Linked DNA regions of Arabidopsis thaliana. The protein of the gene in region 1 interacts with the protein of each later gene in a pairwise test. Each region holds a gene or a part of one and is shown on either strand. Other genes may lie near its edges.

Region 1 (6,592 bases):
AGAAGATGAAGCTCAAAGTGTATGCGGATCGAATGTCACAGCCATCTCGTGCTGTCCTCATATTCTGCAAGTAAACTCCTTCTTCTTCTTCCTTGTTAATTCGCAATTCAGCACAAAAAAAAAATTGATTCTAATTTTTTTTTGTTTCAAGGGTTAATGAAATCCAATTCGATGAGATATTGATTTACTTGGCGAATCGTCAACAATTATCCCCTGAATTTAAAGGTTTGTATAAATAATCAGCAAAAAGGTTTTTTTTTGACATGGGTGAATTCGGATTTCGATAAAAGTTGAAACTTGATTTGGTCTTTACAGTGAGATTTGAGTCTTTGTTTCTCAGATATTAACCCAATGGGGAAAGTTCCAGCTATTGTTGATGGCAAACTTAAGCTCTCTGAGAGGTTTTTTCTTAACACAAAGTTGCTTCCTTTGTATCTAAACCATTGTTTATGAATAATCTTAACCGTTTTCGCAGTCACGCTATCTTGATATATCTTTCCTCAGCATACCCAAGTGTAGTTGATCATTGGTAAGTTTTCGTTTGACACATGCATGTTCGTGATTGCAAAATGCAAAGTGTAATCATTTTACTTTGTTATTCGTTCGTTTACTTTTAGGTACCCGACTGATCTTTCCAAAAGGGCCAGAATTCACTCTGTTTTGGATTGGCATCACACCAATTTACGCCCTGGTGCAGGTATTACATTTTCATATTCATAACAATATCGGTATTGAGAAGTTTGTAGAGTCAAATAGGAATGATCAGTTTCATGTTTCTGGTTATTTCAGCTGGATACGTTCTGAATAGTGTACTAGGTCCAGCTCTCGGTCTTCCTCTGAATCCGAAAGCAGCTGCTGAAGCTGAGCAGTTACTAACAAAGTCTCTGACCACTCTAGACACTTTTTGGCTTAAGGGCAATGCCATGTTCTTGCTCGGAAGCAACCAACCATCTATAGCTGATCTGAGCCTTGTATGTGAACTAACGCAGCTGCAGGTACTAAAAAAAACATGTTCTTTATCAAACATTGTGGAGCAAAAAAGTTACCTTCTTATCTCTGTTATGGCTTTTGATTGTAAAATTTGTGTAATTTTATAGGTTTTGGATGATAAAGATCGTCTTAGATTGCTCAGCCCTCATAAAAATGTTGAACAATGGATTGAGAATACGAGAAAAGCGACGATGCCTCACTTTGATGAGGTCCATGAGGTCCTTTTCAGAGCCAAAGATAGATGTCAGAAGCAGCGAGAGATGGCAACCGCATCTAAACCGGGTCCTCAATCTAAGATGTAAGAACAAAAAACTTGACCACTTTCATCGGGGGAAGAAAAAACTTAATTTCTCATCCAATTTCATGGATCTTCCATAATACAGTATCCAATTTAGTACTATTGGTGAGAAGAGTGATGATCCAAACCTCGTTCAAAACACAACCGATCGTAGAAAACATAGACGCAAATGGAGTCGAGCTGAAGATGCCATTCTTATTAGTGCTTGGTTAAATACTAGCAAGGATCCAATTGTCGATAATGAACATAAAGCATGCGCTTTTTGGAAGAGAATTGGTGCATATTTTAACAATAGCGCTTCACTTGCAAATCTGCCAAAGCGAGAGCCGAGTCACTGCAAGCAAAGATGGAGTAAACTTAACGACAAAGTCTGCAAATTTGTTGGATGTTATGATCAAGCTTTGAATCAAAGAAGTAGTGGTCAATCTGAAGATGATGTTTTCCAAGTTGCATACCAAGTCTACACGAACAATTACAAGAGTAATTTTACACTTGAGCATGCATGGAGGGAGCTCCGACACAGTAAAAAATGGTGTAGTTTGTACCCCTTTGAAAATTCTAAGGGTGGTGGAAGCTCAAAGAGAACAAAGTTGAATAATGGAGATCGTGTATATTCTTCAAGCTCTAATCCGGAGAGTGTGCCTATAGCTCTAGATGAAGAGGAGCAAGTCATGGATCTTCCTCTTGGTGTGAAGTCATCGAAGCAGAAAGAGAAGAAAGTTGCTACTATTATAACGATTGAAGAAAGGGAGGCCGATTCTGGATCAAGACTTGAGAACTTGTGGGTACTAGATGAAGAGGAGCAAGTTATGGATCGTCCTCTTGGTGTGAAGTCATTAGAGCAAAAAGAGAATAAAGTTGCTCCTAAACCAACGATTGAAGAAAGGGAGGCGGCCGATTCTCGATCAAGACTTGAGAACTTGTGGGCACTAAAGGAGAAAGAAGAAAGGGAGGCAGATTCCCGATCAAGACTTGAGAACTTGTGGGCACTGAAGGAGAAAGACATAGAAGAGCAAAAGAAACTAACAAGGATGGAAGTCCTTAAAAGTCTTCTTGGAAGAACAACTGATCAACTTTCTGAAAAAGAAGACATTTTGAAGAACAAGCTCATTGATGAGATGCTCTAATCTCTATGTTCATCTCTGTATTTTAGCTATGTTTCATTGTATTTATCTCTGTATTTTCTCTAGGTTTATCTCACTATCTATGTTCAACATTTGTTTCACTTTCCAATTCACATCATGAAACGTTAGGAAAGAAAAGGAATGATCAGAGCATATGAAAGAAAAGCCCCTATTGTTTCATCAGCTTTTGGCTGGTTTGGTCTATGGAGACTCACTCAAATGCTAAGTTTCAAAGATTTCGAGATGCTTTTGATATTACTTTTGAAAGTTTCTTTGAGAAAATCAACAGGTTGGTATTATAAGTTTTTTGTAATGTTGATTATTTCATTAACGTCAACTTTATGATACAATTTTCAACTTAATGGTATTTAGTTCTCTAGATAACCAAAAAATGATGCATCTGTTTCAAAGAAAAACAAAAAAAATTGTGATCTCAAGTCTCAACTGGTTCTGGTTAAGGGCCGGTTCTGCCTTGTAATTGTATTGCTTTGATGGTGAAGAAGGAGCAATTAGCCTAACCAACCGGTTTAGAGAGGTCTTTGGTCACAACAGAGAAACAAAAACGGCACGGTGTTTTACTCTCTACTGTAGAAACAGCAAGCTACTGTAGAGACACTTCTCTTCTTGTCCATATTATCACCACCGTTCAGTGATCCACAAAATCAGACGAAAAAGAAGATGATGAAGCTCAAAGTGTATGCAGATCGAATGTCACAGCCATCACGTGCTGTTATCATATTCTGCAAGTAATTTCGTTGAACTTCCTTGTTAATTCCAGATTCAGCCAATTTTGTTTTCTCTAATACATGAGAATCTTTGTTTTGTTTGGATTTTATCCTTTGCAGGGTTAATGGAATCCAATTCGATGAGGTCTTGATTTCCTTGGCGAAGCGTCAACAATTATCTCCTGAATTCAAAGGTTCGTACAAATAATCAACAAAGTTTCAAATCTGAGTATTGGTAGATTTATGTTTAGTGTATATGAGATCATTAGTGTAGATTAGTGTAGACTAAGGCTATATATGCTTAGTGTTGTTTCTTAATGTAAATATTGTTAAGAAATGTGTCTTGTTCTTCAGATATTAACCCATTGGGGAAAGTTCCAGCTATTGTTGATGGCAGGCTTAAGCTCTTTGAGAGGTTAACACAAAAGTTCATTCTCTTTTGGGTTCTTGCTTTGGTTTATTGACCATTTTTTATGAATCTTAACCGTTGATTCTTTTCGTAGTCACGCAATCCTGATATATCTATCCTCGGCGTTTCCAAGTGTTGCTGATCATTGGTAAGTTTCTACTTCGTTTGACACAAAGTGTAATCATTTTGCTTTGATGTTCATTTGTTTACTTTTAGGTATCCAAATGATCTATCCAAAAGAGCCAAGATTCACTCAGTTTTGGATTGGCATCACACCAATTTACGTCGTGGTGCAGGTATTGTACATTATATTCATCGATGTTGAGAAGTTATAGAGTCAAATAGTTCTGATTACGGTTGTTTTTACTGTTGCAGCTGGATATGTTCTGAATAGTGTACTAGGTCCAGCTCTCGGTCTTCCTCTGAATCCGAAAGCAGCTGCTGAAGCTGAGCAGTTACTAACAAAGTCTCTGTCCACTCTAGAGACTTTTTGGCTTAAGGGCAATGCTAAATTCTTGCTCGGAAGCAACCAACCATCTATAGCTGATCTCAGCCTTGTATGCGAACTTATGCAGCTGCAGGTACTCACTTAATTTCACTGTTTTGTGCGTTTTTTTAATTCATCGAAATACCAATCCTTGCTATGTTTTGGCTTTTGATTGTAAAATTTATGCAATTTTGTAGGTTTTGGATGACAAAGATCGTCTTAGATTGCTCAGCACTCATAAGAAAGTTGAACAATGGATTGAGAATACGAAAAAAGCAACAATGCCTCACTTTGATGAGACCCATGAGATCCTTTTCAAAGTCAAAGAAGGATTCCAGAAGCGGCGAGAGATGGGAACCTTATCTAAACCGGGTCTTCAATCCAAGATCTAAGAACTTAGAACAAAACTTTGGCAAAACCGGTTTCAGGGGTCAGTCACTGGTTCGTTGAAGAAAAGCCGATTATCTCCTATTCTCCATTGTAAGAAAAATAAGGAATGTAATAATCACTTGTTTTTTGAACTATATGTAATAATCACTTTATCAAAGGTTTTTACCGAACCCGAGCATTTTGAACATCACAACATGAAGGTTTAGATTTATATGTAAATTATAGTTGAACCAGCTCGCAGTTTGTGCTGTCCATCTCACTGGCTTACTTCCTTTGGGCCTTAGACTGTTAGGATCGTTTTTAGCTGGTAAAGGTCGAGAAAAGTGGGTAGCTGCACTGCTAAAACTCAAAGGAAAGCAAGGTGGAAATATAATGGAAGTATGGAAACTTATGGAACCATCAGGAGATAGAGGCCAAGAGGGGTGGGAAACTGCAGCTGACATAATGGAAGGGGAGGGACTATCACAAGATAAAGGTCAAGAGGAGAGGGAAGTTGCTGCAGAGTGCAGACATTATGGTAGGGAAGGAATCATCATCACAAGACAAAAAATAACAGTAGTGTGAAGAGTCACCTGCACAATTTATCTTTAAGCTTGCAAACATTAGTGTCCAAACACCACCCCCACCCCCCCCCCCACCCCACCCCCACACACTGTTCTCATGTTTACTGAAACTGTAATGCTTATGTTGTTCCGTTTAATAAACATGCGATGATTATTATTTCTTAGAACAGAGAATCACTGAAACAGGTTTGAAAAGAGAGGATGTTATATCTGTGAATAGAAAAGACAAAGACAAAGTGGAGGAATCAGAACTCAGCCACGGTTATTGCTCTGTTGAGAGTCTATTGGAAATTTGGCTTTATTATGATAGAGAGCAATCAGAAATAGATAAAATTGGCTTTTAGTAATTAATGTTTCTAGGGATGATGATTCAAATTTATTACAATAGCTGAATACAGATCAACAACAACACATCAAATTGATTCAAGATGTTCTTAATAAATCATAAGAATTTAACAAAAGCCTGCATAACCGTAACCGTAAAGTTCATTCTGCATTAACTGATTCAACCAGGGGTTCTTCACAGATTCTTCTACCGCCGAGTAATGTTGTGTGTTTGAGACGCAAGGATTTTGAAAGCTGTTGCTATTGATGTTACCCATAGACATGTTTTGATCACAACCATAAAACTCCTTGTACATCAATTGATTCAACCCAAAGTTGTTGACAGATTCTTGTACCGCTTCTTTGTTTGAGACGCAAGGATCTTGAAATTTGTTGTTTGTGATGTCACCCATGCTCATGTTCTGATTCTGATCATAACCACAAATCTCCGGCTTCATTAACTGATTCTTCAACTCAGATTCTTCAAGTAACGCTGAGAAATAATCCTGATTGAAATTTGATGCAGAGACTGGGATCTGAGACAGAGTATTGTCTCCATGGTTATACATAAACAGCGAGAACTGGCTAGGGTTCAAAGATTGGGTGTAATGATTCAGAGAGGATGGTGTTAAACTCTGATGATCCGGTTTTGTCTGATTCTGTTTCTGCGACTCAAGAAATCGAAGCCTTTCTTGGAATTTAGAGACATGGAGTTCCAAGGACTGAATCAGTGGAGAAACTTGGTCGGGAGGGTAATGATCAGCGAGTGGATACTTTAAAATATTCACGTTCTTAAGACTCGTCTTCATCTTCTTGTTCGGATTCTTCAAACCCTTGTTCTTCTTCTTGTTCAGGAACCCATGAAGATTAACGCTTTTCTTGCGTCTCAATGCTTCGTTCAATAGACTATACCTAAGAGCAATGTCTCTCACTTTCTCTTTCTCCTTAGGCCATGTCTTAAGTTCTCCGTCTGGTCCGTAATAGATAACGCAGGCTTCGATATCACAAAGAGTGCAAAGCTCTGAAGCTTTCTTGAAGATGGTCTCAAGCCTATTGCTCAAACTTGTGAAAGCGAGTGAATAAGAAGAAGAGGACGAAGGTGAAGATGATCGCATAGTCATCTTCTTGTTGATTGCAAAGACAAACTCTGTGTTTTTTCACGCTCAAAGTTAAGAGAAAGCACGAAGACAAACTTTGGCTTTGTGAAAAAGATGATGAACTATGAAATAGTTAGAAAGAATTAGATATATTTATAGATGATCGGTGATAAAAAAACGCGTAA
Region 2 (6,066 bases), about 13 Mb from region 1:
TAAAGTAATTCACAAGCTTAACCAACATTATTCTAAGTATATATTTTCTTTTTGACATTTGAGGCCTAATCACAAGAAACTGAAAAGTAAAAAAAAAATCAGATGCAAAGTAGAATTTGTCTTGACGTTTGGTGCATTACTTTGTTTTGAAGTCACTGTTTGTAAACATTTGCAATATATATTATTTAGGCAATTGAAAATATTACCGTAATTTGAACTTTGTTTAACAAATTCAATAGTCCAATACTAACGGGGATATGTAATTTTTTTTACAATATGATTGGATTCTCATAGGTTTTGCAATCGTCGTACAACAAATAAGATATAGGCCTTTAAGTGAGAGGATCCAGCAAGAAGATCAAAATCCCAACTCAAAAGCCCATGTCTTGTCTTTGCTTTAGACCAATCTCTTTGGAGCAAAACATGCTTATTCCTAGATTTAGCCTTATATTGATGTTTACGTTTGTGCATAAAACAAGAAAGACGATCCCATGCAAATAAGAAAAGATTTAAATCCATTAACACAATTGATATGTAGTAGTAGTACATGGAAAGATATGTAAAAGTTTTCTATGAACCAGCAGGCTTCTTCATCTTAGACAATGAAGGTTGAATACAAGAGAAAAGGGATAGTCTTTGCTTCTTCGGTTTTCTATCGAAGATAAATGACCTCAAAGGAATACGAGAACGATCTTGCGAAGACTGTGTGTTTGATTCAGAAAGTGAAAACTCCTCACTTAGTTTCTCGAGTGTTGTATCAGCATCCTTCATCAGTTTTGTAACTTGATCTAAACCTGTTTGCAACTCTTCTGCAATCCTATTGTTTTCCTTCTTCATGTTTGAAACCTCGCCTTCGAATTTGGCTCCTTGGTAGATTGTAAATTTTATTTCAGAGTCTTCAGAATCTGTTTTGAGAGCTTCTGTTATCTCATTGTGTATGTCACTCAAAGTTGAAGCTCTGATGTTGATTTCTTCTTTTAAAAGCAAACTCTTCTCTAACCAAACAGTCATTTCGGTGCGAATCTCGCTGAGGTGTTTGTATATGGGACGAACATTTGATCTCAGAGTGTTTTTTCCTCCATCTTGATTCTTTTGTTTTATGATCTTCAACATCTCACCATGTAAGTCTTTGATCCCTGTGTCAAACTGTTGTATTTTGCCAAAAGAGTTGCTAAACCTCACCAATAAGTTCAAGTTCTCGCTTAGTAATGCATCAACTCGTGCTCCCAATTGCTCTTCATTTGGTGACATCCTCTGTTTTTGACCAGTTATTGCATTTGTGGCGTTATTATCTTCTCTGCAAATTAGCATGAACAATTGGCCCCGTTGTTGATCCTTGCCTTCATCTTTCAAGGTGTTTACATTTTTCAGTTTAGTTTCAGTTTCATGTAGCAACTTCTTCACTTCTTTATAGTTCCGAAGTACTTTGGTGTATTCAGTTAACAAATGTTTTTCTCTGCCTTCGATCCCATGTGCGAGCAACTTCTGCAAGAATAACTCATCTGATGACTCTTGTGTTGTTATGATGTCTGATTTTGGTGATGAGATGTGTTTCTCTAAATCAGATAACGAAGCTTCCTTTGTTTTAGTTTCAATAGCCTCTTCTTGGTTAACTTCATCGGAAAGATCCTTTTCAGCAAAAACCACCTCAGATGCTGATTTAATGTCTAAAGCATTTTCAGACACAACGGTATCATCAATGTTTTCCTCTGGAAACTTTGTATCAGTCAAAGATCCTATATCTTGAATTGGCACATTAGTAGCCTTTAATTCTTCATCTTCCCCTTCTTGCGTCAAGCTTTTTAATCTCTTGGATAAGAAACTTAGTTTCATATGTGCTCTCGTAAGATGTTTATCAATGTTGTCACTCTTTTCTTCAACTTCTTGGTCTATATCTTTAACACCATTCACCTTTTCCTCCATCTCTTTCAACTTCTTTCCCATGTCCATATTGTCATCAGTTTGAGATGAATTGTTTTCTTTTTGTAGAGCTCTAATCTGTGCTTTGAGATCATCGATTTCTTCTCTTAGTCTGTGTATTAAAGCTGCTTGAGATGAGAACAAATTCTCCAAATTGATCACATCATTCACAAGCTCATCGATTTTATCAGCCACGTCTGGAATAGTAAGACATGACTTAGCCTCAGAGTCATCAAACTCATCATTTACCTTTTCTCCTAATGACTCCAACTTCTCTTTCTCGCTGTATATCTCATGGTTTCCTTTCCCATCACCAAGCAATGCATCAGAAAGATTACCAAATTCCTCTGTTGATTCACTGATTTGTTTTCTTGAAACATCTACTTCTTTCACATTTTGTTCCTGTTTATCTCTCAGCTCTTCTAGTTTCTCTTGGCATGATTTGAGAGCTGTGGTAGACATCAATATCTGAGCTTCTTTATCTTCTATAACAACAGCACCTTCGTCAAACTCGTCTTGCAAACTAGAAACTTTCCCTTGTTTCTCCATGATACATTTCTCAATCTCCCAATACTTTGCAAGTCCATTCTCATAAGAAGTCTTCACAAACTCTTTCTCAGTTTGCAAAACAAGAATCTCTTTCTGCAACTTGTCAATCTCTTCCACCGCCTCGGTTTTACTCAGCCCGGACTTGTTAACAACGGACGAGGCATTCTGTTCTTGAATAGCTTTCCTTGACATGAACATCTTCTTGGCAGCCTCAGGGTCTTTTATGGGCAAATCAGGAACTTTTGGAACATTCTTATTTGATGTCTTATTTTTATGGTGTCTAGGTGAGACAGGAGCATCATCGTCGTCATCTTCGTTCATGGCAAACTCAGGGACTTGGTCAGGAAAAACAGATGCAATTGTGGTGTTGGCGTTTTGAAGCTCTTTAGAGATATGATCATACCGCTCTGCTAAAGCACGATAAGCCTTGAAAGATTCTTCTACAAAACTTATCAATTCAGGCCTTCTCTTGTAATACATTTCTGCACGCTTAGCAAATGAATCACCTTCATCTTCCAAAAGCTTAAGTGCATATTCCACCTTCTCCTCGATATCTACATAAACATTTTATCAAAAATATGTGGAAGAAGTGAAAAATGATGATAATATGGAATGTAAAAATATGTAACCTTGAAGGTTTTCTTCAAGCCATTTGGATTGTTTGGTTCGAACGTGGCTTGCCCACCACCAGGAGTACGCATTGCTCGCAGCTCTTCGTAGCATCTTTATTCTCTAATCTTTTTCTTGAAAAAAATTTCAATCAATTGAACAAAATCTCATCTTTTTCTGGAGGTTTCGTTCATGACAACCAAAGGAGATGTGTTTTTTTTCTCTCGTTATTATTGTTGTTAATCTTGTTGATAGAGAATGGCGTAGAGAAAGATTCGGTGATACATAGTATTAATGATAAGTTGCTATTTAAAACACATGCAACATTGGATCTGAATAATAGTCCAAAGCATAATGCTGGTTGATTGATGATACATTGATACTCGTACTAATTAAACGGTAACGGAAACAAACTAGTCTCGTCCTCTTTTTTTTTTGGCTTCTATTTTAAGATTAGATTGTGAGATCATAGTTGGTCCTGAAATCACCATGGACAGTGCAAAAACAAATAGACATTCCATTAAGAAGATATTTCTAAGATATGTACATTATATTTGATAGTTGGTCCTGATTCCTGAAATCACCATGGACTTGTTCTTTGTTTTTCTTTCTATATTCGTTCCTATGAGGATGATTTTGTAAATAAATATGCCCAAGCATCAATTTTTTATACGAATCTATTAGCCGCAACAAGTCTGACGTGTCGAAATACGTGGCAATTTGTTCACCACTTTCCACTTTACACGGAACGTTTCTCAATACGAAACGGCATCGTTTCTTGTGTCTGCTAAATGCGAATCCCCTTGTTCGTCCTGTCTTCGAAGAATCTCCCTGAAGAAGACTTCAAACCCTAGAATTTTGTTTGTTCCCTCGATTTTTGATTCACTGGGTAAGTATTTTATACCCTTAATATGTTTATGGTTCTTTACCGAGTTTCGATTGTAAACTCCGATTTTTGAATTCGGGTTTCGTCTGGTTTTCATGAGGAATTTTAACTTTGTAAGTTTTGATGTTGGATGTTTCCTCGAGATGAGATTAGGTTAAAATTAGCTGTTTTAAGTTGAGTTAAGTTGGGATTGTGATCGAGAATTTTAATCCAAGTTGTAGATTTTAGGTTACTCTCTGGTAATGAATATGGCACGCCGACGAAATTGAATGGTCTTGTGTTTTCGTAAGCTCTAGTTCGTTCTCAGTTCAGTAGCAGATTTTGTTGATTGCTAAGAATCTTAAGGATCACACTGCCATAGGTTATAATTGCTTCAACTATTCTCACAGTTTTGTGAATGAGAGATTTGGAAGTTTAAGAAATGCAAATTTTACTACTTTTTGTTCCACCCACCGAAGCTAGACTTTCAATGGTCTACTGTTTGCTGTATCTGAATCATACACACAGGTTTTAACTGGTCTGCTTCATTTCTACGGTGCAGAGTTTGTGTTGGCATTCATTAGTCTCTTTCCGTTAGGCTGTGAGGCTTATGATCGGTGCCACTAACGTTACTGGCTAAGTCATTGAATCTGATTAAAATATGGCCCTTTATGGTACATTGCAGTTGTCTCATAGTCTGGGTTTGTGCAGAAACCAACGGTTTTGTAATCCAGAAAATGTATGTTTCTTCCATTTTAGCCCTGACATCCTTTTCTTTTAATCATTTCTTCCCTTCATCTTTCGAAAAATGTACAATTTTTCAGAGTGCCATGAGAAGGAGGCTGCATATATCAAATGGTCCTCTCTCATTAGGTGTTCCGGTAATATTTCAAACAAAATTTACTCTAGCCTTTCAAATTCGGTTGCTGATAGTTAGTAACATTACTTTTCTGCTTATAGTTGGGACAACATGGTTTCAGCAACATATTACTCTCAAATTACCTTCGTAGGCCTATTTGTTCAGTTCCATGCAGAACCACCGCTTTTAGGTGTCATTCCTTTTCTGCAAGCGGCAAGGCAATTGAACCTGCTGTTAAAGCTGTCACCGTGGTGCTAACAAAGTAAGACTCCTTGTTTCCTATCATCACATGCAGAATGACCACCTTGTAAAATTGGAAACTATCATTATTTTTATTTAGTTGATCTTCATGGATCTGAATGATTGCATAGTAATATTTGGGCATCTAACTCAAAATGAATGAATTAACTCTACTCATAAACATTGTGGACTTGAGCCAAACATTGATGTATGCAGGCCTTGTCATTACCATGGCTCCCCTTAGGGAAGTTGTAATTTTTTTGGTGGGGAAATCTGAGGGGGTGCATTTATGTTTCTCGTAATTTCTCTTCTTTTTTTATTGCACTCTGTAATTATTTGCATTCCGTTTTTTGCAGGTCACACGGGTTGATGCAACAATTCCCTTTTGTATATAAATTGGTTCCAGCTGTTGCTCTTCTTGTTTTCTCCCTGTGGGGTCTAGTGCCTTTTGCTCGCCAAGGAAGAAACATACTACTCAATGTAGGTGCAGCCATTTCAAGTTTATATGCACTTTTTTTTTGTTTACTGCTTTCATTTCTGTGTTGTCTCAGTTCAAATCAATGTGGTATCTTTTCTATATGAGATTCTGAATCTTTACCTTTGAATCATTGTAGAAGAATGATAACGGTTGGAAGAAGAGTGGTACGTACCATGTTATGACTTCATATGTTCAACCTCTGTTACTATGGTTAGGAGCTCTATTCATCTGCAGGTATATCTATCAAGTAGTTCCTCGGGACTTTCTGAGATTTAATTGTTGAGATATTTTGGTGGTATCCTCATCTGAAGTGCTTGGTTGAGATAATTGATTGCTGGTGACTATTCCTTATATAGGGCATTAGATCCTGTTGTCCTTCCTACAGAAGCTAGCAAAATTGTGAAGGATCGACTGTTGAATTTTGTGAGGTCATTGTCAACGGTACTTGCATTTGCTTACTGCTTATCCAGGTAAGAGTATTGTCTAATTTAAATACAAGACTTCGTCTTCATCTTATGTTTCTGTATTTTAGTGGCTTCTATCACG

What was found.
Region 2: the proteins of GSTT1 (region 1) and NET2C interact in a two-hybrid assay, tested with the Arabidopsis thaliana proteins (one large-scale study listed by BioGRID).

Annotation. Positions count from the first base shown.
Region 1 is NC_003076.8:16,490,383-16,496,974, reverse strand, and holds GSTT1 (glutathione S-transferase THETA 1), read left to right. Parts: upstream 1-2,915; 5' UTR 2,916-3,090; coding exon 3,091-3,158; intron 3,159-3,257; coding exon 3,258-3,331; intron 3,332-3,491; coding exon 3,492-3,552; intron 3,553-3,640; coding exon 3,641-3,694; intron 3,695-3,762; coding exon 3,763-3,842; intron 3,843-3,921; coding exon 3,922-4,127; intron 4,128-4,230; coding exon 4,231-4,425; 3' UTR 4,426-4,700; downstream 4,701-6,592. Other genes in the region: GSTT3 (glutathione S-transferase THETA 3), read left to right, coding at 6-70, 152-225, 341-401, 476-529, 618-697, 790-995, 1,098-1,288, 1,374-2,415; AGL75 (AGAMOUS-like 75), read right to left, coding at 5,439-6,431. UniProt on the Arabidopsis thaliana protein: In vitro, possesses glutathione S-transferase activity toward 1-chloro-2,4-dinitrobenzene (CDNB) and p-nitrobenzyl chloride (pNBC), and glutathione peroxidase activity toward cumene hydroperoxide and linoleic acid-13-hydroperoxide.
Region 2 is NC_003076.8:3,302,544-3,308,609, reverse strand, and holds NET2C (Kinase interacting (KIP1-like) family protein), read right to left. Parts: upstream 3,324-6,066; 5' UTR 3,193-3,323; coding exon 3,099-3,192; intron 3,024-3,098; coding exon 571-3,023; 3' UTR 501-570; downstream 1-500. Other genes in the region: MSL2 (MSCS-like 2), read left to right, coding at 4,605-4,682, 4,768-4,824, 4,904-5,064, 5,399-5,522, 5,657-5,754, 5,877-5,990. UniProt on the Arabidopsis thaliana protein: Plant-specific actin binding protein. May be part of a membrane-cytoskeletal adapter complex.